Caenorhabditis elegans: one gene and its partners. The protein of the gene in region 1 interacts with the protein of each later gene in a pairwise test. Each region holds a gene or a part of one and is shown in the gene's direction. Other genes may lie near its edges.

What was found.
Region 2: the proteins of cdc-48.2 (region 1) and ufd-1 interact in a two-hybrid assay, tested with the Caenorhabditis elegans proteins (2 studies listed by BioGRID).
Region 3: the proteins of cdc-48.2 (region 1) and ubxn-5 interact in a two-hybrid assay, tested with the Caenorhabditis elegans proteins (2 studies listed by BioGRID).
Region 4: the proteins of cdc-48.2 (region 1) and ubxn-2 interact in a two-hybrid assay, tested with the Caenorhabditis elegans proteins (3 studies listed by BioGRID).

Annotation. Positions count from the first base shown.
Region 1 is NC_003280.10:8,135,562-8,142,978, forward strand, and holds cdc-48.2 (Transitional endoplasmic reticulum ATPase homolog 2), read left to right. Parts: upstream 1-2,934; 5' UTR 2,935-2,949; coding exon 2,950-3,021; intron 3,022-3,069; coding exon 3,070-3,395; intron 3,396-3,441; coding exon 3,442-4,417; intron 4,418-4,469; coding exon 4,470-5,188; intron 5,189-5,247; coding exon 5,248-5,587; 3' UTR 5,588-5,669; downstream 5,670-7,417. Other genes in the region: ctns-1 (Cystinosin homolog), read right to left, coding at 301-591, 639-879, 930-1,121, 1,213-1,346; ints-11 (Integrator complex subunit 11), read right to left, coding at 5,725-6,078, 6,125-6,208, 6,255-7,417. UniProt on the Caenorhabditis elegans protein: ATP-dependent chaperone which probably uses the energy provided by ATP hydrolysis to generate mechanical force to unfold substrate proteins, disassemble protein complexes, and disaggregate protein aggregates.
Region 2 is NC_003282.8:12,327,141-12,333,210, reverse strand, and holds ufd-1 (Ubiquitin fusion degradation protein 1 homolog), read left to right. Parts: upstream 1-2,320; 5' UTR 2,321-2,336; coding exon 2,337-2,414; intron 2,415-2,435; exon of another isoform or gene 2,436-2,441; coding exon of another isoform or gene 2,442-2,501; intron 2,502-2,562; coding exon 2,563-2,700; intron 2,701-2,749; coding exon 2,750-2,961; intron 2,962-3,031; coding exon 3,032-3,492; intron 3,493-3,559; coding exon 3,560-3,699; 3' UTR 3,700-3,803; downstream 3,804-6,070. Other genes in the region: F19B6.1 (Uridine kinase), read left to right, coding at 1-122, 172-554, 1,105-1,453, 1,496-1,630; F19B6.3 (FLYWCH-type domain-containing protein), read right to left, coding at 4,700-4,931, 4,979-5,259, 5,312-5,851. UniProt on the Caenorhabditis elegans protein: Functions at a post-ubiquitination step in the ubiquitin fusion degradation (UFD) pathway. In association with npl-4.1 and/or npl-4.2 and ATPase cdc-48.1 and/or cdc-48.2, involved in the cytoplasmic elimination of misfolded proteins exported from the ER.
Region 3 is NC_003280.10:10,233,333-10,238,607, reverse strand, and holds ubxn-5 (UBX domain-containing protein 5), read left to right. Parts: upstream 1-4,109; 5' UTR 4,110-4,141; coding exon 4,142-4,207; intron 4,208-4,247; coding exon 4,248-4,377; intron 4,378-4,425; coding exon 4,426-4,754; 3' UTR 4,755-4,775; downstream 4,776-5,275. Other genes in the region: F-box/WD repeat-containing protein mec-15, read left to right, coding at 344-469, 515-601, 926-1,005, 1,448-1,535; pugs-6 (BPTI/Kunitz inhibitor domain-containing protein), read right to left, coding at 3,100-3,346, 3,793-3,912. UniProt on the Caenorhabditis elegans protein: Probably acts as an adapter for ATPase cdc-48.1 and/or cdc-48.2, conferring substrate specificity. Unlike other UBX domain-containing protein does not bind 'Lys-48'-polyubiquitinated chain.
Region 4 is NC_003282.8:2,718,245-2,728,521, reverse strand, and holds ubxn-2 (UBX domain-containing protein 2), read left to right. Parts: upstream 1-2,702; coding exon 2,703-2,713; intron 2,714-2,764; coding exon 2,765-2,875; intron 2,876-2,931; coding exon 2,932-3,079; intron 3,080-3,175; coding exon 3,176-3,282; intron 3,283-5,328; coding exon 5,329-5,623; coding exon of another isoform or gene 5,624-5,692; intron 5,693-7,418; coding exon 7,419-7,507; intron 7,508-7,812; coding exon 7,813-7,957; 3' UTR 7,958-8,209; downstream 8,210-10,277. Other genes in the region: ndua-12 (putative NADH dehydrogenase [ubiquinone] 1 alpha subcomplex subunit 12), read left to right, coding at 8,688-8,788, 9,865-10,020. UniProt on the Caenorhabditis elegans protein: Ubiquitin-binding protein which acts as an adapter for ATPase cdc-48.1 and/or cdc-48.2, conferring substrate specificity.

The DNA of each region.
Region 1 (7,417 bases):
ACGATTGGATAAAAATATTTTCGATTGAATAAAATTATAATTTAAATTAACATGTTTTCGATAAAACATCATTTTCCCAGCTTTTTTTCGTGAATTTTTGATGACGATACAGTACTTTTTAAGGCGCACAACTTTTTGAGTTAAACAAAATCTGTCGTATCGAGACCGGATACCGTAGTTTTGGCGCAAAATTTCGCGGTCAAGTTTTGAAAACTTTTTTGGAAAAACTAGTAATTTAAAAATAATAAAAAATAATTTCAGGCTAGAATACTGTTTACAAATGGACAATATGAAACAAACCTGTGGGAAATATTTACAGCAGGTTACAGCCATTTTTATGTACGACAAACTGGTCACAAACGAGAGCAATTGAATTTTCCTGAGAACCGTGGCGGCAGCGGAGCAGAATCCAAAAGAGATCAGCACAATCATAAGGGCGATACATTTTGAAGAAACACTCTGATTATCACGTTCATAGAATAAACATTGAAGAATTGTGATAAAGCAGGCAAGAAATGCGTGAACAGCGAACACAACATCGTTCAAAAGTACTGGTGGCGGTGACCGAGGATTCACAATATTGTATTCATTCTGAAAGAAGATGAATTAATTTTAGTTATTTATTTTCTAGTTCTCACCTTTACATGACTATTATAATACATTAACAGATTGAAAATAGCATATGCACAAAATCCGACAAGGTTCAGAGATAAGAAATCGAAGTTTAGCCCGACGACGCTTTTTCTTTTGAAATTCAGATACATTTGGGGATAAAACGAAATACTCCATGCGAAGAAGTATGTCCATCCAACAATTTGAATCAAAATGGCAAGAAAGTGAGAGCGAATAACTGTGATTCTAGCAAACGCATCTTCAAGACTGGAAATGAGTTTTGATTTAATTTTTACAATATATAATCATCGACTCACTCCAGAGGACAAGTAATTGACCCATCTGTAGTACAATTGAGAGCTTCTAAAATAGCTCCGGACACCAATTGGCTTCCTAAAACTGTCACATTAGCATTCCAATTGTCAACGAGAATAGCATCAGGATGGGAGATGTATGGTGACTGCGAGAGGGAGATACGTGTTGCGTTCAATGATTGTGATGTGTGGTTTCTGAAAATTATATTGATTGAATACAGCACATGTTCGTATGATTGTTTTTATTTTATAACCTGTTGGATGAAAAATATTATTAATAACTCACTTGATCTGGAAATTAACAGAGACTTCTCCTCCAATTACAATTTCCAATTCTTTCTGTCTAACAACTAAATTATTTGTCGCAAATGTGAATGGAACCAAGAAGAGAACGAGCAAAAATGCCACCGGGAAACTCATTATATCATTCTGGAAACAATTATACTTCAAAAAATGGAAGCAAAATATAAAACAGGAGTTGTGAATAGAGAAAACGACGCTTTATATCATCAGTTTTGGCATTGAAATGAATCAATAACATAAATTGAGCGAGAAAAAGAGAAACAGCAAAATAGTGAAAAACGAATGATTGACCGAGAGAACGGGGGAAGGTTGGAATTTTTGTAAACAAACGAGGGAAACATCATGTTGAAAACATATATATACACATTTTTTATTTAATGCGTCGGAATATTCAGAAAATCGTTCAGATCATCGATAATTTTTATTGATAAAAGACCAAAAATCCAGTTTACATGAGGAAAACAATACACTGTGAATTTTAAAGAAAATTAAATATTCCAAAAAAATTTAATTTAATTTGTAATTTGGGAAACTGAAACAATAAAACACTATCGAAAACTTAAAAAAAAACATGGATTGAAGCTCAAAAAAACTGTTTTAATGTTTCGTTTTGTAGAACTTTAGATTTTTGTAAAGCGGGAGACACCACGAATCCGCAAGAAGTTTCTTCCAGAAGCAGATTCGCTGAAAAAAAATGAAGTTGTCTTAAACCTGATGCTTTTTTTTGATAATTTTTATACATTATGTGGTTTCCTGGTTGGCCATTTTGTTAAAATCATTATTTCCTGTAATAAAAGTCAGGCGTTCTCAGTTATTTCCAGATATCGGATTCCTAAAATAGCTGAACTCCAAAAAACGGTCAAGTCTCTGAACACCAAACGCGCTCCTTCGAACAAAAAAAGCAGCGCGTACGTTTAACGAACAGTTTTTTCTTCTAGAAATTGTTTTCTCATTGCGCAATGCATTGCTCATTATAAATAATTATGTTTTAAACAGTTGCTGGGAGGTTTTCGCTATCTCAGTCGTTGTTAAACAATTACCAGAGTGTGTTATCGTATTTATCTTTGCCGTATAATATCTTTTCCATATTTATGCGATTGCGGAAATTTACCACTGACTCTGCGGAAACTGCGGAAATTTACCACTGAAATATCACTCATATCGTACGTTTCTTTGAATTCGTCTCCTTGTTATTCAAATTATGTCTTCGTTTTTGAACGAGATATTTACCTCTAGCTTTCTAGATCGTCACATCACTTAGGTTCGCCTTGAACTTCTGTTCCGCTAAAGACGGCTGGTTCACATATATTTTTAACAATGTAATTATTACTTATGACCCGAATAAAACGGTAGAACGCTTTGTGAAATTATTCGAAAGCAAATGCGCCCCAAGGAGAGAGTGTGAATGAGAGGCTGCGTTTTGTCATCATGTAGAGGCAGCATTGGGGTGTTCTGTAGAGAACTTAGTCTACGTGTCTCATCTTCCATATTTCTTAATTTTGTTCTATTGGCTCTTTTTGCATCTCTTCTTTGATTCGATTCTTTAACTGAATTAGATCAGAAATTATACTTGAAGTTTTATCTTGAAAACCTACTGTAGAAAAGTTTGTCCGTGTTCTACTTTCTTATTAGACTTTCGCGTTTCGGCCTTTCCTATGTTCTACCCCCATCTTCCGTTCTTTTTTATTATTCCAAGATTTTACAGAGAAGTCGTTTAACCATGGCCTCAGTTCCGACTCAGAGAGACGAGAAGGAAAAGAAGAATGATGAGCTGGCTACGGCTATCTTGAAAGTAGGTTTTTCTCCAAGGTAATCATTTCAATATAATTAACTCTTTCAGGACAAAAAACGCCCAAACAGACTCATTATCGATCAGTCTGACAATGACGACAACTCCATGGTCATGCTCTCACAGGCCAAAATGGACGAGCTGGGACTCTTCCGTGGAGATTCGGTGATTTTGAAAGGAAAGAAACGAAGAGAGACTGTCTCTATCGTTCTTAATGCGGACAATTGCCCGAATGACAAGATCAAGATGAACAAAGTGGTTCGAAACAACCTCAGAAGCCGTCTTGGAGACGTTGTCAGTATCTCAAGTGCTCAACTCGAATATGGAAAAAGGGTTCATGTTCTTCCAATTGATGACACAATCGAGGGATTGACTGGGTATGTTCTTGCCACGGAGAAATAAAGACTGTATTTTTTATTTTAGAAATCTATTTGATGTCTTCCTTCGGCCATACTTTACCGACGCCTACCGCCCAGTGCACAAGGGAGACATATTCACTGTTCAAGCTGCAATGAGAACTGTCGAGTTCAAAGTTGTCGAGACGGATCCTGCTCCGGCGTGTATTGTTGCTCCAGATACTGTTATTCACTATGAAGGAGATCCAATTAAAAGAGAGGAAGAAGAGGAGGCTCTCAATGAAGTTGGATACGATGATCTCGGAGGTGTTCGTAAACAACTCGCTCAGATCAAGGAAATGGTTGAGCTCCCACTTCGCCATCCCCAACTTTTCAAGGCTATCGGAGTGAAACCACCACGTGGAATTCTTCTGTTCGGTCCACCAGGAACCGGTAAGACACTGATCGCAAGAGCTGTCGCCAACGAAACAGGAGCATTCTTCTTCCTCATTAACGGACCGGAAATTATGTCTAAAATGTCTGGAGAGTCGGAATCGAATCTTCGTAAAGCATTTGCCGAGTGTGAGAAGAACTCACCTGCTATTTTGTTCATTGACGAGATCGATGCGATTGCTCCAAAGAGAGAAAAGGCTCACGGTGAAGTCGAGAAGCGTATCGTCTCGCAACTTCTCACACTTATGGATGGACTTAAAACTCGCGCTCATGTTGTCGTGATCGCCGCTACTAATCGTCCTAACTCTATTGATGGAGCCCTTCGTCGTTTCGGTCGCTTTGATCGTGAAATTGACATTGGAATCCCTGATGCTGTTGGCCGTCTGGAAATTCTCAGAATTCATACCAAGAACATGAAATTAGGAGAAGACGTTGATTTGGAACAAGTTGCAAACGAATGCCACGGATTTGTCGGAGCTGATTTGGCTTCCCTCTGCTCTGAGGCTGCTATTCAGCAAATTCGCGAAAAGATGGAGCTGATTGATTTGGAGGATGATACAATTGATGCTGAAGTTCTCAATTCTTTGGCGGTCACTATGGAGAACTTTAGAGTAAGTTATCATTTTTTTGCACTTAAGAGACGTATCATTAATCATTTTTCAGTTCGCAATGGGAAAATCATCCCCATCTGCTCTTCGCGAAGCCGTTGTGGAAACTCCAAATACTACTTGGTCCGACATCGGAGGTCTTCAAAACGTCAAGCGCGAACTTCAGGAGCTCGTTCAATACCCTGTAGAGCATCCAGAAAAGTATCTCAAGTTCGGAATGCAACCATCTCGTGGAGTTTTGTTCTACGGTCCACCAGGATGCGGTAAAACACTTCTCGCTAAAGCGATTGCCAATGAATGCCAGGCTAACTTCATTTCCATCAAGGGACCCGAGCTTCTTACTATGTGGTTCGGAGAATCCGAAGCTAATGTTCGCGACGTGTTTGATAAAGCTCGTGCTGCCGCTCCATGCGTTCTCTTCTTTGACGAACTCGATTCGATCGCAAAGGCCAGAGGAGGAAGTGTAGGAGATGCTGGAGGTGCTGCCGATCGTGTTATCAACCAGGTTCTCACTGAAATGGATGGTATGAATGCCAAGAAAAACGTGTTCATTATTGGAGCTACCAATCGTCCTGATATCATTGATCCAGCTGTTCTTCGTCCAGGACGTCTCGATCAGTTGATCTACATTCCTCTTCCTGACGAAGCATCTAGACTTCAAATTTTCAAGGCCTCACTCCGCAAAACGCCCCTTTCCGCCGATCTCGATTTGAACTTCCTTGCCAAGAACACCGTCGGTTTTTCGGGAGCCGACTTAACCGAAATTTGCCAAAGGTTTGTTATAAAAATTAGTTAAAAAAATATTCGCATTTGTCAATTAATACCATTTTCAGAGCATGCAAGCTTGCCATTCGTGAATCAATTGAACGGGAAATTCGTCAGGAAAAGGAGCGTCAGGACAGAAGTGCTCGTGGAGAAGAACTTATGGAGGATGAACTGGCTGACCCAGTTCCAGAAATAACTAGAGCACACTTCGAGGAGGCAATGAAGTTCGCTAGACGTTCCGTGACTGATAACGATATCAGAAAATACGAGATGTTCGCCCAGACTCTTCAACAATCTCGTGGATTTGGAAACAACTTCAAGTTCCCAGGAGAAGCTCCTTCTGCTGGACAACCTGTTGGAGGAAACGGTGGCTCCGGTGGAAATGACGATGATGACCTGTACAACTAGATTTCGCTAAAATTGTTTTATTCTATTTATTGTAAATGCATCCTTGCGAGGGTATCAAATGTTCTCATGAATGTTAAATTTATTTCCAACTTTTACAAGTAAAAAAATCGTAACCGTAAAAAGTATTTGTTAAAATCTTATGCTTTAACAGAGATAGCAGGAGGGACCGGGGAGGATTCGGGTGAAATGAGATCAGTGATGGCTTTATGGATAACCTTGAACCACTGTTCACGGCATTCGTCCCAGATCAGTTCAAGCTCTGTTTCATCAGAATTGTTTGCTAAAATAGTGATTTCTCCATCAAACATTTCAATGCCGTCGTCTTTTAGTTGCAAGTGTGGATCATAGAGTAGAAGCTCGTTTGATAATTCCTTCCAATTCACTTTTTTGCCTTTGATGATTTCTGACAATGAGAGAGTGATCGGCATGCAGTTTTTATCTTTTATCAAATCTTCTGATTCTGCTGTAGACATGATATTCAGTCGTTCATTCTAAAATTATTTGAAGTTATTGCAAAATAAAGTTCAATAATCTTACTTCTTGATCGTAAACGAGCTCGGCGACAAATGGGCATTCCGATTTGGCAGGATTCGGATCGAGGCTTAGGCTTCTGTCAATTTTCTGGAATTTTTTATTTGAGTTCAATTTGTTTTAGAAACACACAAACCTCAAGTGGAACTCGTATATCAAGCTTCGGTTGAGCAGAAATCACTACAGTCTCTCCGTTTGCTGGCATGTGAACAGGTACTTTGTACTCCTTTTCCACTTTTCCTTTCAAGAACTCCATCTTTGAAGCTTCGCCGTGCACAAACATGACGTGTTGAGGCTCACATTGACGGATAAGCTGCATAATTCCTTTAGCATCAGCATGAGCACTAAACGACATGTATTCCACACCAAGTCGAATTTCGTGCATCTTTTGATCAATTTCAATTTTCTTTTCGCCATTAATAACTCTTGCTCCAACTGTTCCAGCGACACAGTAACCAGGCATAATGATCATGTTCAGAGGATCTGAGCACCATTTTTTGAAAACTTTGAGCGATTGACCTCCGTGAAGCATTCCAGGAGTAGAAAAGAGAACCTGAGGTCCTGGTTGATCTTCACATCCCTTTTCCATTGGTTTGATATGCTTGAATTCGAACATATTTCTTTCTACGAAAGTTTTCTTAATGTTCTCGTTGGTCCAGCTGATGAAAAGTCGGTAATACTGATTTGCCCGTTCTGCAAGACCTTGGGAAAAATAGATTGGTACGTTGAGAGCCATTCTCTCCCAATATGATTCAAGCAGGATACACAGCTCCTGCGCTCGTCCCAAGGCAAAGACTGGAATAATTACTTTTCCTCCTTTCATCACACATTCATGAACTTTTCGAAGGAAATCTCTTTCTCTTGCCCTTTTCGAATCACGGATTGTGGTCGCATATGTTGACTCAGAAATAAGGACAGTTGGTCTAACACCAGGAAGAACTCTCGCCGCTCCAAGATGCCTATCTGGAGTCATGTTGTAATCACCAGTGTATAGAACAGAATGATCTCCAAGTCGAATTTCAAACATTGCAGCTCCAAGAACATGTCCAGCATAAAATGCACGAATAGAAAGTTCGTTGTCAACGTGAATAATTTCATGAAGTGCACATCCGACAACCTTTTTCATACAATTCTTGATGTCATCTGAGGTGAAAAAGTTTGTCTCGCCTTTGATGTCACATTGAACTTTTCGGTAATCTTCCAATAAAACTGGGCAAATGGCTTTTGTAGGGTAAGTCATGTAAATTGGTCCGTCGTATCCCACAATTTCGCTCATATGAGGCAAACTTCCACAGTGAT
Region 2 (6,070 bases), on another chromosome or scaffold:
ACATGAAAGTGTTCGTCGACACGGATGGAGATCTTCGTCTAGCTCGTCGTATCGTTCGGGATGTCACTGATCGTGGGCGTGACATCGACGGCATCATGGAGCAGTACTTTACATTTGTAAAAGTAAGAGAATTGTTGTAACTCGTCGTCTCAAGTAACTTTCGAGTTGCAGCCGGCGTTCGACAAATACATTGCACCATGCATGGATTCGGCTGATCTCATCGTTCCGCGCGGTGGAGAGAACGACGTCGCCATCGACATGATCGTGCAGAACGTGATGGCACAGCTCGTTGAACGCGGATACGATCGCAATCAGAACAACCGTGATCGTCACGATTTGGTTCGCGACGATCTACCGGATTGTTTGCCGGAAAACCTGTTCATTTTAAAAGAAACTCCACAGGTCAAAGGTCTTGTCACGTTTGTTCGTGATCGAGAAACGAGTAGAGACAATCATATTTTCTATTCTGATCGATTAATGCGTATTCTTATTGAAGAATGCATGAATCATATGCCTTACAAAGATGTTGAGATTGAGATGGCCGGCGGTAGAAAGTGAGTAAATTTGAAACTGAAAAATGGTCACTGCAAGATTTGAAAATTCCTTTTTGAAATCTGAAATCAGCGCCAACCTTTCTGAAATTTCTGAATCTGACTGCAAAAATACGGTACCCGGTCTCGACACGACAAATGTTTGTTAAACAAAAGTGTGCGCCTTGAAATAGTACTGTAGTTTCAATTTCTTATCACTGCGGATTTTTTGTTTTATTTTAAGTTTTGTTTATGGTTTCAATCAAGTTTTTTAATACAGAAATAATTTTTATAGAAAAACTACAAAGAATCAATAAAAATTCTGCAGTAATTTAAAATTACAGTAATCTTTAAAGGCGCTCTTTCAGCAAAAAATCTGTCGAATCGAGACCGGCTACCGTATTTTCGGCTTAAGAATTGCAAAGTTTCAGATCTTGGTTTCGGATATTCGGATATTAATGTTCTATTGTTTCCAATATAAGAATAAACTTTTTCTAAATAAAACTTGAAAACTAAACAATTGAAAACGTCTAAAATAGGCTCAACCATCTAGAAACTTTAATTTTTATTTCAGAACTATTGGCAAACGAAAGGACGCTCAGATTTGTGGTCTTCCAATCATGCGAGCCGGCGAATGTATGGAGACTGCTCTTCGCTCAATCGTCAAGGACTGCGTGATCGGAAAAATTTTGATTCAAACCAACGAGACGACGTTTGATCCAGAACTTCATTATATACGTTTGCCACCACACATAACTCGATACAAAGTTATCATTATGGACGCCACCGTAACTACTGGGAGTGCTGCGATGATGGCAATTCGTGTACTTCTTGATCATGATGTTAAAGAGGAAGACATATTTGTTGCATCTCTGCTTATGGGTCAACAAGGTGCACATGCACTGGCTTATGCCTTCCCGAAGGTTTACAATTTTTTATTTGAATTAAAAATTATTAATTTTCAGGTTAAATTAATCACCACCGCAATGGACCACCAAATGACGGAAAATTGCTATCTGATTCCCGGAATGGGCAATTTTGGTGATCGATATTACGGAACCGGGCTCGAACAAGACATGGACGAGCCATTCGATATGTGATCATCTGTTATCACAAAAATGATCAATTTTCTTCATAATTTATCAAAGTTTCTGTTTTCCTTCCATTTCATCTGATGAATTCCTACTTTCTTGTTCCTTTTCACTAACTTTATTATTATAATTATAATTATTCATAATGTTCTTTCTTTCCCATCATCATATCCATCCTTCTATACATTTTGTTTCCATTTGTTGTTGAAATTTTATATGCTATTTCATTTTTTGTCGTCCTTTTTTTCCGTTCTTCATTTTATTGACTTCTCTTCATGATTTCTGGCATTCAGCTCGATAATTCATTTATACCCTGTTCTTTCTAGTGTTTTTTCGCGTTGTTTGTGACGGTTAAATTCTTCCCTCTACATCTTTGCGCGTTTCCACACAAAAATCTGTACACGACATTCGGTTTTCTCGTTGTTCCATTTCTTTTTTGTTCAACGGAGCGCGTTTGTCGTTGCAGGAATCGGTTTTAATATCATCATCCATTCACGCATTCTCTTTTTCATGTTGTTCATTGTGTTTTTCTTCAATTTTTGTCAAGTTTCCTTCACACGTGCATTTTAGTAATTTCTTTCTATAATAAATTGCAGTTTGTTAAATATTTAAATGATCAATGAGCTCTCTTTTCTTGGTTGGCTCATCCTCTTTGTATTTTTTGAATTATAGTTGAAGAAAACGTTAATAACTTTTCAGAAAACCAAAAATAAAAATGCAAGCGTGGATACAACAAGGACTTCACGGGATGCAGATGGGCGGCCGAGTCGGGAATTATGATCAAACTTTTGTGGTGAGCTTTTAAAATTCATTTCGAAAGATGTTTGCAAACTTTTTTCAACAACAACTTCGCCGAACTACTCGTCATTTCGATCTCATTGTAAATAATAAATTGGATTTCAAAGATTATATTTCAGCGTTAATAAACAATTAAATTTCAGGTATATGGGCCCGTATTCCTTCCCAATGCAACACAGTCAAAAATAAGCGAAATCAATTATGGTGGAAAGATTCTTCTGCCGTCATCTGCTCTCAACTTGCTCATGCAATATAATATTCCGATGCCAATGCTTTTCAAGGTTTGTTTTGTATAGCTTGAAGTAACTAGAAAACCATTAAAATTTACAGCTAACCAATATGGCTGTTCAACGTGTAACTCATTGCGGTGTTCTTGAATTTTCTGCTCCAGAAGGACAAGCCATTCTGCCACTTTGGATGATGCAGCAATTGGGACTTGACGATGGAGATACCATTCGCATTGAGTCTGCAACTCTTCCGAAAGCCACGTTTGCTAAATTGAAGCCGATGTCACTCGAGTTTCTGAATATTACTAATCCAAAGTGAGTTTTCATAAACTCTAATAATTTTTTGAAGTTTTTGAACAAAGTCCTATATTTTTCTATTTTTCAGAGCTGTTCTTGAAGTGGAACTTCGAAAATATGCATGCCTCACCAAAAACGATCGGATCCCAACATCATATGCTGGACAAACTCTCGAATTCCTCGTCGTTGATTTGAAACCGGCCAACTCTGTGTGCATCATTGAATGTGATGTTAATCTCGATTTCGATCCTCCAGAAGGCTACGTTGAACAACCGAGACAGGTGACTCCTGCTGTCACTGCCAAGCCGCCTGCGCCAGATGCATCCGCATTTATTGGAGCTGGACAAAAAGCTGGTGGTAGTGGAGGGACAGGACAAAATGCAACTTCTGTATTCGGAGGAGCTGGGCGTCGTCTCGATGGAAAGAAGAAGCCATCATCTTCAGTATCACTCTCAGATGGAACCGGTGTTAGTACGAGTAATGCAGCTCCAGTGGCGAATGATTTGCCAGCTATTCCACCAGTGGTTGTCAATGAAGACTACAAACCAGGTAATACTTGTTTCATCTGAAATAAACATTTCAAAATAATTGAAAAGTTAAATTTTATGATTTTCAGGTCGTGTTTCATTCCTTCGTTATGATTATAAACGTGTTGATGTTCTCGAAAAAGAGCTCCGAGAGAAAGAAGCCAGCAAGGCAGGACAACCGTCAAATGTCTTCCGTGGAGGCAATCGAACACTGAGAGGAGCCCGTTAATGTCTCGAATCTGGCCAATTGTGCTATGAATAACATCTTTCACTTCACATAACCTTGTAAAAGTTCATCGCCACTTTTTTGTACAGGATAAATTTATTTGAATATATTATTCTTTGATAAGTGTGATTCAGAGATGAAATTGAAGGAGATCTCCGGAGAAAAAAATGAAATAACTAATATTATAGAACTATTCACTTGTTACAAAAATGCCTTGTAAGGTTTAAAAAATTGCAGAACTTGTTTAGATCATAAATTCTGGCTAGCGTCTGTGCTTCCGAAAACACACAAATGGACTTTTTCAATTGAAATTTTTTTGTTGAATCGAAAAATTCAATATTCAAGGAGCTCGGCCATGAAGCTGATGAACCTTCAGCGATGTCAGTGATGGGTGGAGTGGTTTCTTATCCAAACTTCTATGAATGAAAAAACCTGGAGAAAATGCTGTTTTGAAAGCCAACTCTATTTTTTGCAGAAAAAGGTCCAAATAGTCGATAGCTTCACAAAAGATCACTCGAAAATAGTCAAGATTCTGCAGGAAAAAGTCAAGTCTCAATACAAAAATTACATCTACAACACCAAAAAATCATTAAAATAAATACTAATTTATTGATACGGCGAAAGAATCGAATAAAATACAAAAAAAAAGAAAGTAGGATAGCTGAAGCAAATCGAGAGAACGGAGAAACAAATTATACGAGTTGGGATACAAACATAAAATACCATAATTGCCTACAATGGCTGGATGTTGAAGATTGAAGAGGTGGATCAGTTCTTTGTCGGAGTTCTCACTCCAGGAGGTTTGAGCTCCTTCCACTTACGAAGCATGAATGCTTTCGCATTTCTTGAGCATACCTGAAAAAGCAAAATAATCCAACTTTCAATAACGAGAAAACTTACTTCTCCAACTTTGGAAACGGCAGCGTCGTCGTGGAGTGCTGCGAACATGTGATCTTCATCGTAGATAAGATCGATTGCTTGCATTGACGGCTCCTTGCTTTTATTATCCAAATGAGTAGCCATAACTATGATCAAAATCAACTCTTCTGGAAGGATTTCGGTGAAAAAAGTGATCCGCTTTCTTGTTGATGCTCCCGACCTTGAAGCTATTCACCCAGTCATCCAATATCGGGAGTTTCGCCAAATCTTCCTCTGACACTTCCAAATTGAAGTAGCACCATCTCGACGCGTCATTGAACGGCATGTTGCTGTGCTCAATTTTGGTGAATTTGACTCTGAAATATGTAAATAGTAAAATAAAAGTATATAATTATTTACTTACCCATATTTATCCTCAAGTTTCTTTGGAAATTGGGCCTTGAATGGGACCCTTGTGCAGTCCTTGAACAGGCTGATAGTTATTCCATGCGAAGTCCTCGGACGCTTTGCATCTATATCCATTGGTTGCGAAGCAACTCTTTTATTGGATTGCTTATCCAACTCGAAAATGTGGTTGCACTTGAGGCGCTGGAGCCCTTCACACTTTTTGCAGACGGTCCTGTACCTGCGGTTTGTTCGGTACTCAAACCCCTCCCATCGCATAATTGTCATTTGTGGAGGTTCCTGAAGTTTCAAAATTAGGAAGATGTTACTTGTTTCATTATCAGTAACTTACCACGATGTTCTCAACTTTGAAAACATTCGGGATACTGGCCACGAGTGAGGCTTCCGAATTGGATGCAGCCACTGTAGATATAGCAGAGGCATCATCATCATCACGTTTTGCGACCTCAAGGCTAGGAAAGTCCAAAATGTTGTCAATTCTTGCAAATTCGACAGCGGACTCGACCGTCCCGGCGTCAAGGGCAACCGACTCAGAAGTAAAGAGAACTCCTTCCGATGAGTTTTCAATTTTGGCAATACGCTCCCCAATAATGACTGCGCCAGCTGGGCCACCGATTCCGTTGTTGTCGGTCTGGGATCCGCTGTTTAATGCTCCAACTGTCTCCAAAGGATTAGAATCCTGTGTTACAGGCTCTGGTGCCTGAAGAGGTTCCGTGGCTGGTTGGGAGGAGGACTTGAGTGTCATTGTAGTCATGCAAGTATGATCCTGTCCGGCATCTCTTTCGGTGAAATCAAAGATCTTTCGTCCGTTGTAGACAAAATCAAAGTGAAGGTCGCGTCTTTGGGCTGTTGTTGGCGCATCCGAAGCCATAATATTCTAAGAACTGCAAAACGGTATTATTCAAAAGGATGCTTGAAACGGGCTTCAAAAACTTACATTTTACTGGATTTCACAGCGAACGAAGAGTATCAAGAAAAAAAGCAGAACTGATCAAAATTATGTTCATTGACACGTGGGGTGAACGTGACTCACGTTTCACGTGGAAATTATTATTTTTCTTTTCTTTTTTTGCATTGCGGATTTTTTGAA
Region 3 (5,275 bases), 2.1 Mb from region 1:
TTGAAAGAATTAAGAATCAAGAAATTTTCCATCGATTTTTTGTATTTTTCGTTAAAACATACTCATTAATTCAAAAAAAAACTAAAATTAAAAATTAAAACGCACATTTAAATTTTAACAAATTGTGAGAAAATCTATGAAAATTCCACAGAAAAAAGTTGAAACTACAGTACTCTTTAAAGGCGCACACCTTTTCTAATTTAACAAAATATTATGTGCCGAGACCGGTTACCGTATTTTTGAGTAAAAAATTGCTACATTTAGATGCTGGGTGATTTAAAAAAGCATTTAAAAAGTTTTTTGAATCAAATTTTAAAAAAAATAATATGAAATTGAATTACAGGAATATTCTCCAACAGCATATAAATCATGTCTATCGCTTCAATGTAATCAACTTCTAACATCAACATCCGATGGAAAAGTCAAGTTGTATGATGCAAATAATTTCAACGTTTTGCAGACATATTCGGTAGGGAATATAGAATATTATTCAGTTAATATAAATAATTTCTAGGTCGGTTCCTATACCCGTCAATCATTTTTGGAGCACGGAGCACACTTGATTATGGCGCGAAGTTTGAAGCGTAATTACACATTCAGTGTGAGTAGAAACCATTTTAAGAAATTTCATAGGTCCCCCTATTTTCCTGAGAATTCGTTTTTTTTTTGCAAAATATGCAAAAATTCAGTGTTCCACTCTTTCCGTTTGTCTCTCTTTTTCGAGCACAAAAAATGAAAAAAAAAGCAAAGATGGATGTATATATTCGGAATTCGATTTGTCACAAGGCATTTTTTTGGTTTTTGGTTGCTTTTTTAGCACATTCTTGGACTCGGAAGAAAAAAAACCACATATCTAAAATTTTGAACGAACGAAAAACAGTGAAAATATGCATTAATTAGAATTTCAACCCGATTAAATTTCCAGATCTACAGCCCAGGAACACGTAGTCAGCAGTGGTGTGCTTCACATGAATTGGCCGCGGAGCCAGCCAAATTTGATTATTCGTAAGTTTAGTTGTTAGCACACAAAATTAATTGAAAAAATTTAAAAAAAACTTCTAAAAATGATAATTTGTAAAATTTTCATATTTTTCAGAAAATTTTAAATTTTCCAATTCTTCAAAATTTTGTAGGTTTAAGCTCTTAAAATTGCCAGATATTTTGGAATATTTTTAAAAAATTTGGATTTTCGAATTTTTAGAAAATTGGAAAATTCTTTATTTTTCGGCATTCCAAATTTTCAGAAAATTTTTTGCTTTTGGAATTTCCAACAAAATATAATTTTACGGCTTTCCAAATTTTCTAAAACTTTGAAATTTTTTGAATTCTTCAATTTTTATTTGTATTTTTCGGTTTTTCAAATATGCAAAAAAAACCGGTATTTCTGAAAAATTGAAATTATGCCAGATTTTTTTTTTGAAATTGACTAAAAATTTTATTTTTTCAGCCCATCATCGAGAACTCTGGCAATTGGCAATGGTGATAGCTCAATTCTGTTCTGTCTTCCAGCATCGGCTCCGGATCAAGAAAACTGAATATCTTCTCAATTTCTGAACATTTCCTTTGTGTATATACCAAATATCATTGCCATTTGATATGATCTCTTCTGAATCGATATCATTTAACTTCATATTTTATAGATTTGCATAATTATGAAATGTTTTGGCCCCTTTCCATGCTTCTTCCTGTTTAACCCCGTTTGGTGCACAGTTTAGCGCTCGCCCGCAAGAAAAACAATGGTGGAGCTCACCTGGAGCATCGTGTTATTTGTCTTTTGGCAAATACACAAAACAGTCTTCTCTCTTTCTCGGCTCGTGCTGCGTGGCTCATTTGCGTATATACTCTAAGGAGTTATGCATGGAACGTTTGGAACGTTTGAAGAAGAGAGCTCAATGTCTATGTCCCCCGTGTGCTCTCCGGAGACAAAGGGTTAGGCGGAGAGCAGCAATATGAGCATTTTGACAAGTACTCAAATATTTCTCCATTGTTTAGTTTCGAGATAATATGGTTAAAATCACAAAAGTTTCATGTTTACCGGAAAGATTTTCATAGTTAAAGTGTGCCATGCGGAGCCGGAAATCTAGAGAATTTCGTCGAAAATTTGAAATTCTTGGCAATAAAGTTATTATGGATCTTTTGAAATCGAGGCGCAAGGGCGCTCTATGGCACTCTCCGCCCCTAGACGTTGGGTCTCGTTAGGAATAGAATCCGGAAATTCGAATTTTAAATGTTTTTGTTGTTTTTAATGATTTTATGTCGAATTTTATGAATTTATATAATTTCGACATAAAAACAACGATAAATAATTAATTTCTCAGTGGAGCACATTTGCATTTCGACTTCAAAAATCGCATTTTTTTGCGTCCCTATAATAACCCCCTACTTAATATTTTTACCAACAAGATGTTTTGGTACACAAAAAGTGCATTTCGAGAACTAAATAATTGCTCCGAGAGCCGCGTTTCCCCTATTCACACTAACTCATTTTATCCAGTTTTGCATGTAAAAATCTTTTTATGCACAAAAAAACAACACGGGAGAGACGGAGAGCAAGATTTTCCTCTTTTTTCAAGAAAACTGAGCAATAAAGACATGAAAAGGCAAGGATTTATTTCAAAAATAGTTATTATTATACGTTCCAGAAAAAATTACGAACGTATAATAATTCGTAAAAGAATTAAAATAAAATACAAAAGACAATGTGTGAAACCGGGGAATTTAGGAAGGAAATAATGGGAAACGATGCCTACCTTGAAGGACAATCAATTGTACCGGAAAAAGACCAAAATGCATTATGAAAATGGAAAAAATGCAAGTGCGCTCTATTGATGTGTCAATAGTAGAGCGTACATGCATCAGATACTAAATTCAAAAACTAGAAAGGATTAGGAGATTTTCGAGAGTGAGAGAGATTCTAGACAAGGTTAACTGGAACTATAAAAGGAAAATGTAAAGACAATTATGTTCAAACAGAAGCAGTGGAAGATCGATTTGGGTTTTACACTTTTTGACAGTGTATCTTTTTTTGAATTAAACAGAGAAAATTTGTTACAGAGAAAGAGAAATAAAAAATCAGATTCTCACCCAAAATTTTCAAATTTAATTCAAGCGATGTGCTCTTCCCTTATGGAATGTTCCATCAGCATACGATCCAAGACTTTTTTCTTCTTTTCCAGCACATACTTTATCACAATCAACGACTCCGTAGAGAGTGAGATGTCCAATTGGTTTTGTGCTCATTTCACGTTTTGGGGTTGAAGCCTGACGTTTCAGCTTCTTCTGACGCTCGTGAAAGGCTTTTCCGTACTTTCTGGGGCGCTTCTCGAGGACAAAGTAGAAGGACCAGCTGGAAAATTTAAATAATTATTAAATTTGGTAATGTGTATTTATAAATGTTTTTGAAAAAAACTTTCCCCATTCCATTGAAATTTTTTGCAGAAAACCCCTATTTTTAAAGGTGGTGTAGCCATAATGGAGATTAAGCTTTAAAATTTTTTTTAATTGGTGTGAAACTCAGAAAACCCACAAAAAACATCGATAGAAAAAGAAGAAGAATTCTCCTTTTAAAAACTATATTTTCCAATTTTGGTTTATTTCTTTTTTTTTTTGGAATTCGCTCCAAAATGAGAATTTCTAGATTTTTACGAAACGGATCCCATTGGAAATCACAAATTTCGGAATAAAGATTAACCATTTTTTTGGTAAAAGTTCAATTCTTAAATATCTATCAAAAGTTGATAATTACATACTACTGACATAATTATTTTCCAACGCACACACACTTTCACTCACTCTGCCACTTTATGCGACCACGGACGAAGATACGTGCATCCTTCTTTATCATCCGGGAACCAAAACTTGTCTAATGTACAGAAGCCGCCTTCTCCCAGAATACATGTGTATGAGTGAAGCCTGAAAATTATAGTTTTTGAATTGTTATTAGAAATTGGAAATTGGAAAGTATTTGAATTTTTTGAACTGTTAGAAAGTACTCTTAAAAATATATTAGTTTTAAAAAATCCTGAAAAGAAAACGTGTGAATTCAAAAATAAATAAAATTTAGACTTTGCAACGTCAAATTCTGATAGCAAATTTTCAACAAAAAAATCATTACCACATTTTCACTAACTACCACTAGACGATGCCAACTAACAATCACGTACAAAAGGAGAAGTTTGCGGAGGATCGTGCTCTGTTGAGCCAACAGGTTAGATTCGGATTATGACAGTGATAAGTTAGAATTTCAGAACAAAGAATATGCGGAGAGTCTTGCCAAGGATATTGCAAAGAAAGAAGAAAAGGATAAAATTAGATTTGAAGCTGAACAGAAGGAGCTGAGGAAGAAAACCATTCAGGATTACAGAGAGAAGTTGAAAGGTAATTTAGAACCCATAGTTGCAAATAATGCAAGCTGGCCTATTCCAGGAACTGTATCACAAGGACCCCTCCGTCTTCTAGTACGATACCCCAATGGTTCTCGATTAATTCTGAGCTTCTCCCCATCACAACCGATGACTTCACTTTTTGATGCTATTATTTTGAATCCGGCGTGCCCTGACTATTTCTCGGTTCGAAGTGTCTATCCTCGTGCGGAGATTCATTGCTATCCAGCATGGTATCACACGATTTTCAATGCAGAATTCAAGGATGAAACAGAAAAAGGAGCAAATAATGTGGCGAAGGAGACGAATGAAGTAAAATGTCTAGAAACTATTCCGAATAACTCAATCCTCTACGTGAATTTGATTCAATGAAGTCAAACTCATCTTGACTATAATGCAGGGTATTTCATGTAGGCGCCAAGATGCCTAGCTGACCTTAAGGAGACCTTCACCTGCCTCGCGCCTTTAATGCCTTTGGGTGACGTGAGGCAGGTAGGTTCCAGGTAGGCTCTCACGCCGCGCCTGCCCATCACGGAAGACCTTCACTTAATGTATGCCTGATACATATAGAAATTCAAAAATAGCCAGACTTCAACCAAACTTTGGCAAGTTGTGGGCGAGAATTTTAAAAAAGTTCTCCATATCGATCAATAATTAAAATTTATTAAACTTGGCCAAGCTCTTGGGTTGAAGTTCATTGAAAATTTGCTAAAAGTTGGTTCAAAGTGTGGTGAGATGATTTGCATTAGAGAATGAAGGAAGTTTGGTAAGCCGTGAGCTAACTTGGGTGAGAAATTGGCAAATTGGCAAAACTTGGTAAGAAATTCCAAAGGGGAAATCTTGACGTAGAATCCAAGCTGAACTTCGAATAGATACTGGTAATCTTTCTCTGT
Region 4 (10,277 bases), on another chromosome or scaffold:
AGTTGAATTCATGAAATATTCAAAGGTTTTTTCTAGGCGCCAGTGTCGATACAGAAAATTTTCAAATACTACAAAAACAATTAAAAACGCTTCTTCACTTCTTTAACTTTGAATTTAACATAAAAATCATAGATCTGAAAATTATTGGCGTGCGTGGGATGTGCGTTTGTGTGGGAAGTGCCGCGTGCCAAAACTTTTTTTTTGTTTTGCCGAAAGGGTTCGTCAAATTGCCGAGGTGATAAAGGTTACACCTTATTGGGAAACATTACAAATTTTAGGTCAAATTGAAGGAAATTTATTCAGCTATCAGTATTCTATAGAAAATTGTATGTATGAAGTGGCAGTCGCGCGAAAAGCTCATGTAAAAGAGCGCTTCACGTGTTACCATACTTTTGGCGCACCCTGTATATTGATAGATTGGAAATTGCGAAAATGTATACTATTCGGCAATTTCGTTCAGCTGGCAGCACAGATTTTATCTTTTATGATAATCAAAAAAACTCTACTGATTTTACTTCTTTGCAGGTTTTTATCTGAGTTTGATGGGTAAAATTTACTCACTATCAACTCGGAATAAAATGTAAGATTACAGTTAGAGATTCGAAAACAATAATGCTTCGTGTTTTTGTGAGATGTCTCCTGGGGGAAGTTTCTTGGAACATTTGGTGATTCGAGAATTTTGAAATTACAGTAAAATAAAAGATTATTACATCGTGGTTGATTATATACGTTCTCACGTTGTCAAATCAATCGTTATGCAACAAAATAGTTATGAATTTTGAGCCGAGACTCATTCCCCCTAAATACCATTCAATTGTATCTAACAATTTTACATTCTAAATTTCTTCCGATTTGAATAAATATGTTTAACATCTATTCCGTTTTGTTTTATGAAGATTGTAGTAGACAAGTAGTAGAAAACTCTAATTCACAATCACCTGATTTTTATAGAGGGATAGAGGACAACAGAGCAAGCGGGAAAGATGTAGGTCACAATAGGAAACAACTTCCATGGTAGGCAAGCGCGTTTTCAGGGACCTGCCCGCCAGCCTTCCTGCTCATTGTTTGCATTTTTACGTGAATTTACAAATTTATTATATAATTTTCTCATTTCTATAAATTTGATAAATATCAAATCACTAGTTAGCATAAGAAGCGGGTTGTGGCGAGAGGCAGGCGGAGGTTGGAACTTTATACAGACGTGACCTTTCGGTCATCATGAACTTATCGCGTAAGCGACCTCTCTTTATAATTCATTACTTCTTACACTCTCTTGTAATAAACTTCTTCTCTCCTTGTCACTCGCTCAATACACAACAATAATTTTTTACTTGGAAATTGTTTTAGCATCTGCAAAAAGTATTTATTTATCAGTTTTAATAAGAAAAAACGGGAAAAAGCTGTGAAAAACGAAAGAAAACAGGCGGAAAACAAAGCAAGATAAATGGCCGCTGAAACTTGTCGGCCCCTCGGCCATGGCCTAGAAACCACTTTTCCTCGTCCCTCGTAAGGAAAAAGTTGCAGTGAAGGATCCCGTGGTTTCCCGAGCAATTTGAAATTGTCAAATTAAGTTCAAAAACCAAATGATGGTTTGAAACTACAGGAATAAATCGGTATCCTGTGTCACGTAGCCTACTTGACTTGGAGTAGGATGGCTCTAAAGTTTCGGAACATTTGCGGAAACTTGGGTTGATCATGATGTGTGTAAAGGAATGAAGCTACCGTATAATACCTGCATGCAAGAATAATTTTGATTAGTCCATTTGCAGATTTTTAAAACTTGTCGTTCAAAACAACGACTCACAGCCTCCTCACGTGGAAATGACCCAACAACAGGGGGCTTGCGCGTTTCTCGTGAGCGTGGGAAAATTTTGCCGTTGAAAAGTAATTTCCTTCAGTTTTCATGGGTTTGAAATCGATTTCAAACTTTTTAATTACGTATCAATTGTAAAGCTACTTGAGGGTAAGGTGAAGGAAAAAAAAGATTTTTGATTTTTGTTCAAAAATAAAAGCGATGATATAAAAAGAAAAAAACATCTAAAAATTGAGTTTTTCTCATATTTCGTATATTTATCATCATTTTTCTAGTGGAAATTGATGTATATTTGAAAAGTAATCTTCCACCAAAGCTTATGTTATAAAAAATATGAAGAAAAACAGTAAATTGAACGTTTTCGGTAATTTCTCAATTTTCCACGCGATGCACGAGAAGTGCGCCAATGGACCGACTTTAAATTTTTTTTTCTCATAGTCAGTGGGATTTTTTTTCAATCTGATGGTTTCTTGATGCTTTTGAGTAAAATTTTGAATATTAAAAATAAAGACATTTCAAATATATTATCAAAATCCACTTTTAGACGTGATTTCTCAGAAAAATTAGAATTTTTCCTCGATTTCAGGTAAAATTTCAGTTCACAATTGTTTTTTAAGTTTTTCCCCAAAGAAACTGTTGATTTATTATCAATTCGCAGAATTTGGACGCTGCTGGAAACGTGCCCCCGACAAGAATTGCGTCAACAGCGGCTGCTGACGCACTTCCCGCACGCGCTGGCGCGTTTCTCGGCGCGTTTTATCATTATTATTTTGTTTCCTATTTCCATCGGTTTTTCGTCGTTCTTTTTTTGTTTTTCACTCATTTTTTCTCAAATTTAATATTTTTACAGTGAAAACCTTCAATTTTCCACCACAAAACCCCGGAAAAAATGAGCAGAAAGTGAGTGTCGCCCGCGATTTTCAACCTCAAAAATCGATAAATTACTTGCAGTATTCGCACGTTTCGTGACATTGGAAACAACGACGATGGGGGGCCGGACAGCGACGATTCAGGAGCCGATGCCGCCGAGAGAGGAGCCCCACAGGAATTTTACGCTGGAAGGTAGCCGCAATTCCTAGATTTTTTAATTAAAATTTTTTAAAACTTGGATTTTTCAGCGGACAAGCAGTTCAAGGACCACGTGGAGCTGCTGCTCGAGGCCCGGATAGTGAAGCCCACATTCGGAGAATCCTTCAGGCCGCCGAAGTGGTTCAGCCAGAGGGAGGAGAAGCTCCAAGAGGACGCCCGTCAGGGAGAGAAACTATTGTAAGCCGCGGTGGGCTGCTGAAATAGCTGAAAATCATTGATTTCTGCTCATTTTTTGCGCGGCGAATTTGCTTTAAAATCGATATTTTTTTGCAGAGCCTAACGCTTCACCTGTGGTCCGACGGCTTATCGATCGAAGACGGCCCGTTAATGTCTCGCCAGGACCCCAGAACTATTGAATTCTTGGAAAGCGTCGGAAAAGGGTACGGAATGACGGAAAATGGAGGATTTCTTGAAGAAAATCGAGAGAAAATTGGATTTTTTTGACGAGAAAATCAAGATTTTCGATCCAATTTTCACTGAAAATACAAAATACAAGATTTTTTCTTAACACATAAAAATCAGTTTTTTGGCAGGAAAATCATGATTTTATCGTTGAAAATGCAAAATTCTACTTAAAATTGGGACTTTTAAGCTGTTTTCATGTAGAATTTAGTCCAAAATTTGAGTTTTTCAAAGTTTTTTCATAGTAATCCTATTTTCAGCAAACTTTACCTGGAAATTGTCCAGTTTTCGCCAAAAAAAAAATCGATTTTCCCACGATTTTTATTGATTTTAACAAATAAAATATGTGAAAAATCTTCATTTTAAACTAATTTTCACTTAAAAAATGAGAAAATCTCGATTTTTTGGCCGAAAATTTAAAAATTTGATGCTAAAAATGCAATATTTCAGCTGAAAATTGCATTTTTTAAGTTATTTTTGGGCATTATTAGCTTAAAATTGATGTTTTTCACTGTTTTAAGCTGATTTTCAGCGATTTTCTCTTGAAAATTGTTCACATTTCGATTTTTTCCACTATTCTCCTCAGTTTTTAGCAGAAAAATCGACTTTTCTTCGAATTTGCTGATTTTAAAATCAAATTTCGTTTAAAAAAACTTTTATGAATTTTCACATAAAAATGATGAAAATTCTCCAATTTCTGTCGGAAGAATTCCTGAAAATGGAATTTTTATCTTTTTTTTTCAAAAAATTCAAAATTTTGCCAAAAAATCGATTTTTCTACAAATTAGTCGCTTTTAACAGCAATTTTCGTTGAAAAAAACTCAATTTTTATAACTTTTAGCATAGAAAATGTTGAAAATGGCTTAAAAATGTTCGAACTTCTTCAAGAAAAGTGCCAAAAAATTCATTTTTTTTCACATTAAAAAATTTTTTACAGAAAACCATGAAATTTCCAATTTTTCTCCAAAAATCTCCGATATTTCTCCCTGCAAATTTGAAAATTCCCCAAAAATAATTTTTGTGAAATGCCAATTTTCAGCCAAAAATTGATTTTCTAGCGATTTAGCCGTTTTAATATCAATTTTTACACATAAAAATCGGTTTTTTGGCAGGAAAATCATGATTTTATCGTTGAAAATGCAAAATTCTACTTAAAATTGGGACTTTTAAGCTGTTTTCATGTAGAATTTAGTCCAAAATTTGAGTTTTTCATATAGTTTTAATTTTATTTTCAGCAAACGCCAAAAAAATTTTGATTTTGCAACGATTTTTGGCGGCGATTTTAATATCAACATTTGTGCAAAAATGCCAATTTTAATCAATTTTCACATAAAAATTGAGAAAATCTCGGTTTTTTGCCTGAAAATTTAGCATTTTATCGCAAAAAACGCATTGTTTCAGTTGTAAATTGTTAAGAAACCGAGGAAACCTATATTTTAATCAGTTTTTTAGCAAAAAAATCGATTTTTCTACGAATTAGCTGATTTAAATGACAATTTTCGTTGGAAAAACTCAATTTTTATGAATTTTCACATAAAAATGATGAAAATTCTCCAATTTCTGTCGGAAAAATTCCAGAAAAGGCATTTTTATCCACTAAAAAAAATTCAAAATTTTCCAATATTTTCCTCAGTTTTTAGCAAAAAAATCGATTTTCCTACAAATTTGCAGATTTTAAAATCAAATTTCGTTGGAAAAACTCAATTTTGATGAATTTTCACGAAAAAATGTTGAAATTGGCTCAAAATTCTCCAATTTCTTCGAGAAAAATCCCAAAAAAAATGGAACTTTTTTTCCATTTTTTCAAAAAACTCAAATTTTTCCAATATTTTCCTCAGTTTTTAGCAAAAAAATCGATTTTTCTACAAATTAACCGATTTTAAAATCAAATTTCGTTGAAAAAAAACTCAATTGTGATGAATTTTCACGAAAAAAAAATTGAAAATTCTCCAATTTTTACCGAAAAAAGTGCCAAAAAATCCATTTTTCACTAATTTTTCTATTTTTTTTTTGTTTTTTTTCAGTGAAATCCCTCCATCACTTGTTCAACAATATCCGGGAAAAGAAATCGATTTCAAAGTGAACCGCCACCACGAGGAGTACGTTGCTCCGAAGATGAAGCCATTCGGCGGTAGTGGAGTCCGTTTGGGAAATGTTGTCCCAACAGTTTTGGGACAATCATCGTCGTCTGCCACCACTGCTGGGACATCATCTGCAACAACTGATCATAACCCGGATCATACTGCTGAAAATGAGGCAAAACAGCTGGAAGATGCTAAGAAGGAGCTGAGCACCAATATGAATGAGCCAACGACTAATGTACGGAGTTTGTACTACGGTTTTGGAGCAGCGAAAATTTTTGGAAATTTGGAGGAAAACTGCGGCTAAAATTGGCAGTTCTAAAAGAAAAATGGACGAAAAAATTCAGTAGAAATAGGCTAAAATCAACTGCAATTAGTAATTCAGTCCCCCCACAAAACTGACCTGAAAATGCAATAAATTAGAAGAAAAACGGTCGAAAATTACCTGAAAATCATAAAAATCGAAAAAAAAAATCGGTGGCCGAACTTTTCGATTTTCTAGGCCATCAGGTGAAAAGTTAGACCCCCCCACAAAACTGACCTGACCTATCACGCAGAATGTCAAAACAAAATTGGGGGACTAATTTTTCACTTGGTGGCCTAGAAATCCAAAAGTTCGGCCACCGATTTTTCATTTAATTTTTATGTTTTTCCGGTCATTATTGATAGTTTATCTTCGCATTTTCAGCCATTTTTCCACCTGAAAACTTACAAATAACGCTTCTTAAGCACCGCTTTGACACCTCCAATCTCCTTGACCATTTGGCCAAACTTTTGGATTTTATCGATTCCCAGCCACGCTTTCAGGGACATCTGTAATGTAAATTTGGTTGGAAAAATGGGATTTTTTTTCAGTAAAAAATATGAAATTTTAACGGAATGTGGGGGAAAAAAATTTGACCAAAAAACATTTTTTTCGCCATTTTTTGGCGAAAAACTCCATATTTCCTGTGAAATATGATATTTTTCGAGTTTTTCACTGAAAAATCTTGAATTGCTCGGAAAAAATCGGAAAAATCGATTTTTCAGTGGAAAATGTACGGAGTTTGTACGGTTTTGGAGCGAAAATTTGTGAAATTTGGAGGAAAACCGGCTAAAATTGGCAGTTTTAAAAAGAAAAATCAAAGAAAAAATTCAGTAGAATTAGGCTAAAATCAACTGCAAACTTTTGAAAATTAAATTTTAAATATATGTTATCAATTATACACTAGAAAAAACATCCCAGAATCAGTTTATTTCTGAAAAATTTCAAATCGGATAAAATAAGCTTCAAAAACACTCTAAAATTAAATGATTCTGATAATAAAATATTCAAAAATTCGCTTAAATTGGGAAAAAAAATCGGTGGCCGAACTTTCGGATTTCTAGACCATCAAGTGAAAAGTTAGTCCAGCCCATTTGAAAATAGCTAGACACAATTCAAAATGGCAAGAAGACGTTTGTGGAGGACTAACATCTCAGTTGGTGGCCTAGAAATTCAAAAGTTCGGCCATCGACTTTTAAAATTTTATTTTCTTCCAATTTTTCACAAAAATGTGCTGAATTACTAATTATTCGATGGGAAACCCGAAAAAAATCGGTGGCCTAACTGTTTTAAAAAGTCGGCCACCAATTTTTTTCGCGCAAATTTGACCGTTTTTTCGTCAATTTTCCAAATAAAAAATTGCTGGCCTAGAAACCCAAACCTCGGCCACCTATTTTTCACCTAAAAACCGTACCTAAACACACCATCAGGACGCTTTTCTGCTCTCCGACGCTCATTTTCTGGGAAAAAATCAGATTTTTTTCCTGAAAAAAACGTGAAAAATCAATAAAAATATCACAAAAAGGTCGTAAAATCCTTCAAAAAATCAATAAAAATTGGCAAAAAAAAATCGATAAAAATCTACAAAATTCATATGATTTTAAACACAAAAAAAACGGAGAAAAATCTACTTTTTCGAAAAAAAAAAATTTCAGGCTCTAATTATAGATTTTCAGTCGAATTGTGGCTTCTTTCCTGATATTTTGATTAATTTTAACAAAATTTTCAGATCCAAATCCGTCTGCCAAACAATCAGCGTCTCGTCGGTATTTTTAATCATTCTCACACACTTGAAGCAGTTCGTACATTCATTTGCACGTGAGTTTTCAGCCGGAAAAAGCTATTAAAAACTCTCATTTTTCACTAGAAAAAGTAGATTTTTAGAAAATTTCGAATTAAAAAAATAAAAAAATCATCTAAAAATCACATTTTTAGCCTGAAAAATTCGAAATTTTCCAATGAATAATTATTTTTTAATAATATTTTTCTGATATACACAGTGATAGAAAAATTACATTTTTCAAATTAAAAAATTACATTTTTCAAATTAAAAAATTACATTTTTCTAGTTTTTTCTTTCAAAAAACTCAAATTTTTTTAATTTAAAAATTTTGATTTTCCAGCGCCCGCCCAGATATGATCTACGCTCCATTCCAAATGATGGCTGCCTACCCTCCAAAACCATTTGAAGACGAATCACAGACTCTGAAGGATGCAAATGTGCTCAATTCGGTCGTCGCCGTGAAAATCTTGCCCACCACCAACTGAGGAGATTCCTGACGCTGCTTTTTTGGCGGGAAAATTGAAAATTGAAAATTTCATCTGAAAAAATTTCGAATTTCTACTCGTTTTTACCCCCCAAAACCTCTCAAATTCCCTGAAAATACCTGTATTTTACGCTAAATTATTTGATTTTTTCCCCCCATTTCCCAATATCGTTTTTTTTCTTTCTTCTATCACACTTTAATGCATAAAAAAAGTACACCGTTTTCTGTGAAAAATTGCGGCGATTTTTATTGATTTTTTGTTTTGGAATTTGCGAGTTTTTCAAGCTCTGAAATATTTTTTTTATTTTTTCCAGATTTTCAGAATTTTTCAATTTTTAGTGAAAAATGCACATTTTTTACAAATTTTCCATTAAAAATTCAATTTTAAAGTCAAATTTTGAATTTTTCAGATTTTTTCCCAATTTTTCAGAGAGAAAAATCCTTCTTCTGCGATTTTTTGGTGAAAAATTTAAAGTTTTCAAAAAATGTAAAAATTCACTTTTTTTGTTCCAATTTTCCACTGAAAAATCGATTTTTCCCTGATTTTTTTCAAAAAATTCAAGATTTTTCAGTGAAAAACTCGAAAAATATCATATTTCACAGGAAATATGGAGTTTTTCGCCAAAAAATTTATAAAAAATTTTTTTTTGAAAAAATTCACAAAATGCTTGGTTTTTCCTCCCCACATTCCGTTAAAATTTCCCATTTTTCCAACCAAATTTACATTACAGATGTCCCTGAAAGCGTGGCTGGGAATCGATAAAATCCAAAAGTTTGGCCAAATGGTCAAGGAGATTGGAGGTGTCAAAGCGGTGCTTAAGAAGCGTTATTTGTAAGTTTTCAGGTGGAAAAATGGCTGAAAATGCACTAAATTAGAAGAAAAACGGTCGAAAATTACCTGAAAATCATAAAAATCGAAAAAAAAATCGGTGGCCGAACTTTTCGATTTTCTAGGCCATCAGGTGAAAAGTTAGTCCCCCACACAAAACTGACCTGACCTATCACGCAGAATGTCAAAACAAAATTGGGGGACTAATTTTTCACTTGGTGGCCTAGAAATCCAAAAGTTCGGCCACCGATTTCTGACAAATTTTTAATTTTTTTTTTCGATTTACAACAATCGAATTTTATTTTTTAAAAATACATCAAAAAATTGATGGCCTAACTTTTCGATTTTCTAGGCCGTCATGTGAAAAGTTAGTCCGCGGGTTGATAATCGCTTGAAATCACCTGAAAACGAGCGAAAATCAGCGGGGACTAACTTTTCAGCTGGTGGCCTAGAAAATCGAAAAGTTCGGCCACGAATTTTTTTTTTGAATTTTTCAGTATTAAAAAATTCAAAAAATGTACGAAATTTGTCATGAAATCTGTCAGAAATCGGAGGCTGAACTTTTTTGGATTTCTAGGCCACCAAGTGATAAATTAGTCCCCCAATTTCATTTGGACATCCTGCGCGATACGTCAGGTCAATTTTGTGTGGGGGACTAACTGTTCACCTGATGGCCTAGAAAATCGAAAAGTTCGGCCACCGTTTTTTTTTTAATGAGTTTTATGCCAATTTTACACTATTTTCGCTTAATTTCATCAAAATTTCGGTTGAAAAATTGAATTTTTCGAATGACTCGCGTCGGAAAAATGACCGGAGAAACATAAAAAACCGAAAAAAAAATCGGTGGCCGAACTTTTCGATTTTCTAGACCAGCGAGTGAAAAGTTAGTCCGCGCGGGCTTATAATCGCTTAAAATCACCTGAAAACGAGCGAAAATCGATGGGGACTAACTTTTCACATGGTGGCCTAGAAAATCGAAAAGTTCGGCCACCGATTTCTTTTGTTTTTTAATGATGATTTTTAGGCCAATTTTACACCATTTTCGCTCAATTTACATAAAAATCTTCTCAAATTTTCAGAATGGACGCGACCCGCGTCGGAACACTCGTCGGTTCGGACAATTTCGGCAATCGTTACTACGAGAATAACGCGTATTTCGTGCCACGCAACCGTTGGGTCGAGTTTCCCGACAAAGTTTGGCTCGACTATGATGCGACTCAAGTGCCACCGGAATGGTACGCAAAAAAATGACGACGAAAAATGAACAATTTTGCTGTTTTTTACACGAAAAATGGCCTAGATCGGCCTAAAATGGCCTAGAAATGGCCTAGAAAATGGCCTAGAATGGCCTAGACAAATACAAATAAAAATAGATGACATAAAAATCATGAAAATCGAAAAAAAAATCGGTGGCCGAACTTTTGGGTTTCTAGGCCACCAGGTGAAAAGTTAGTTCCACCACTCAAATTTGGCCCAAATCACTCAAAATGTC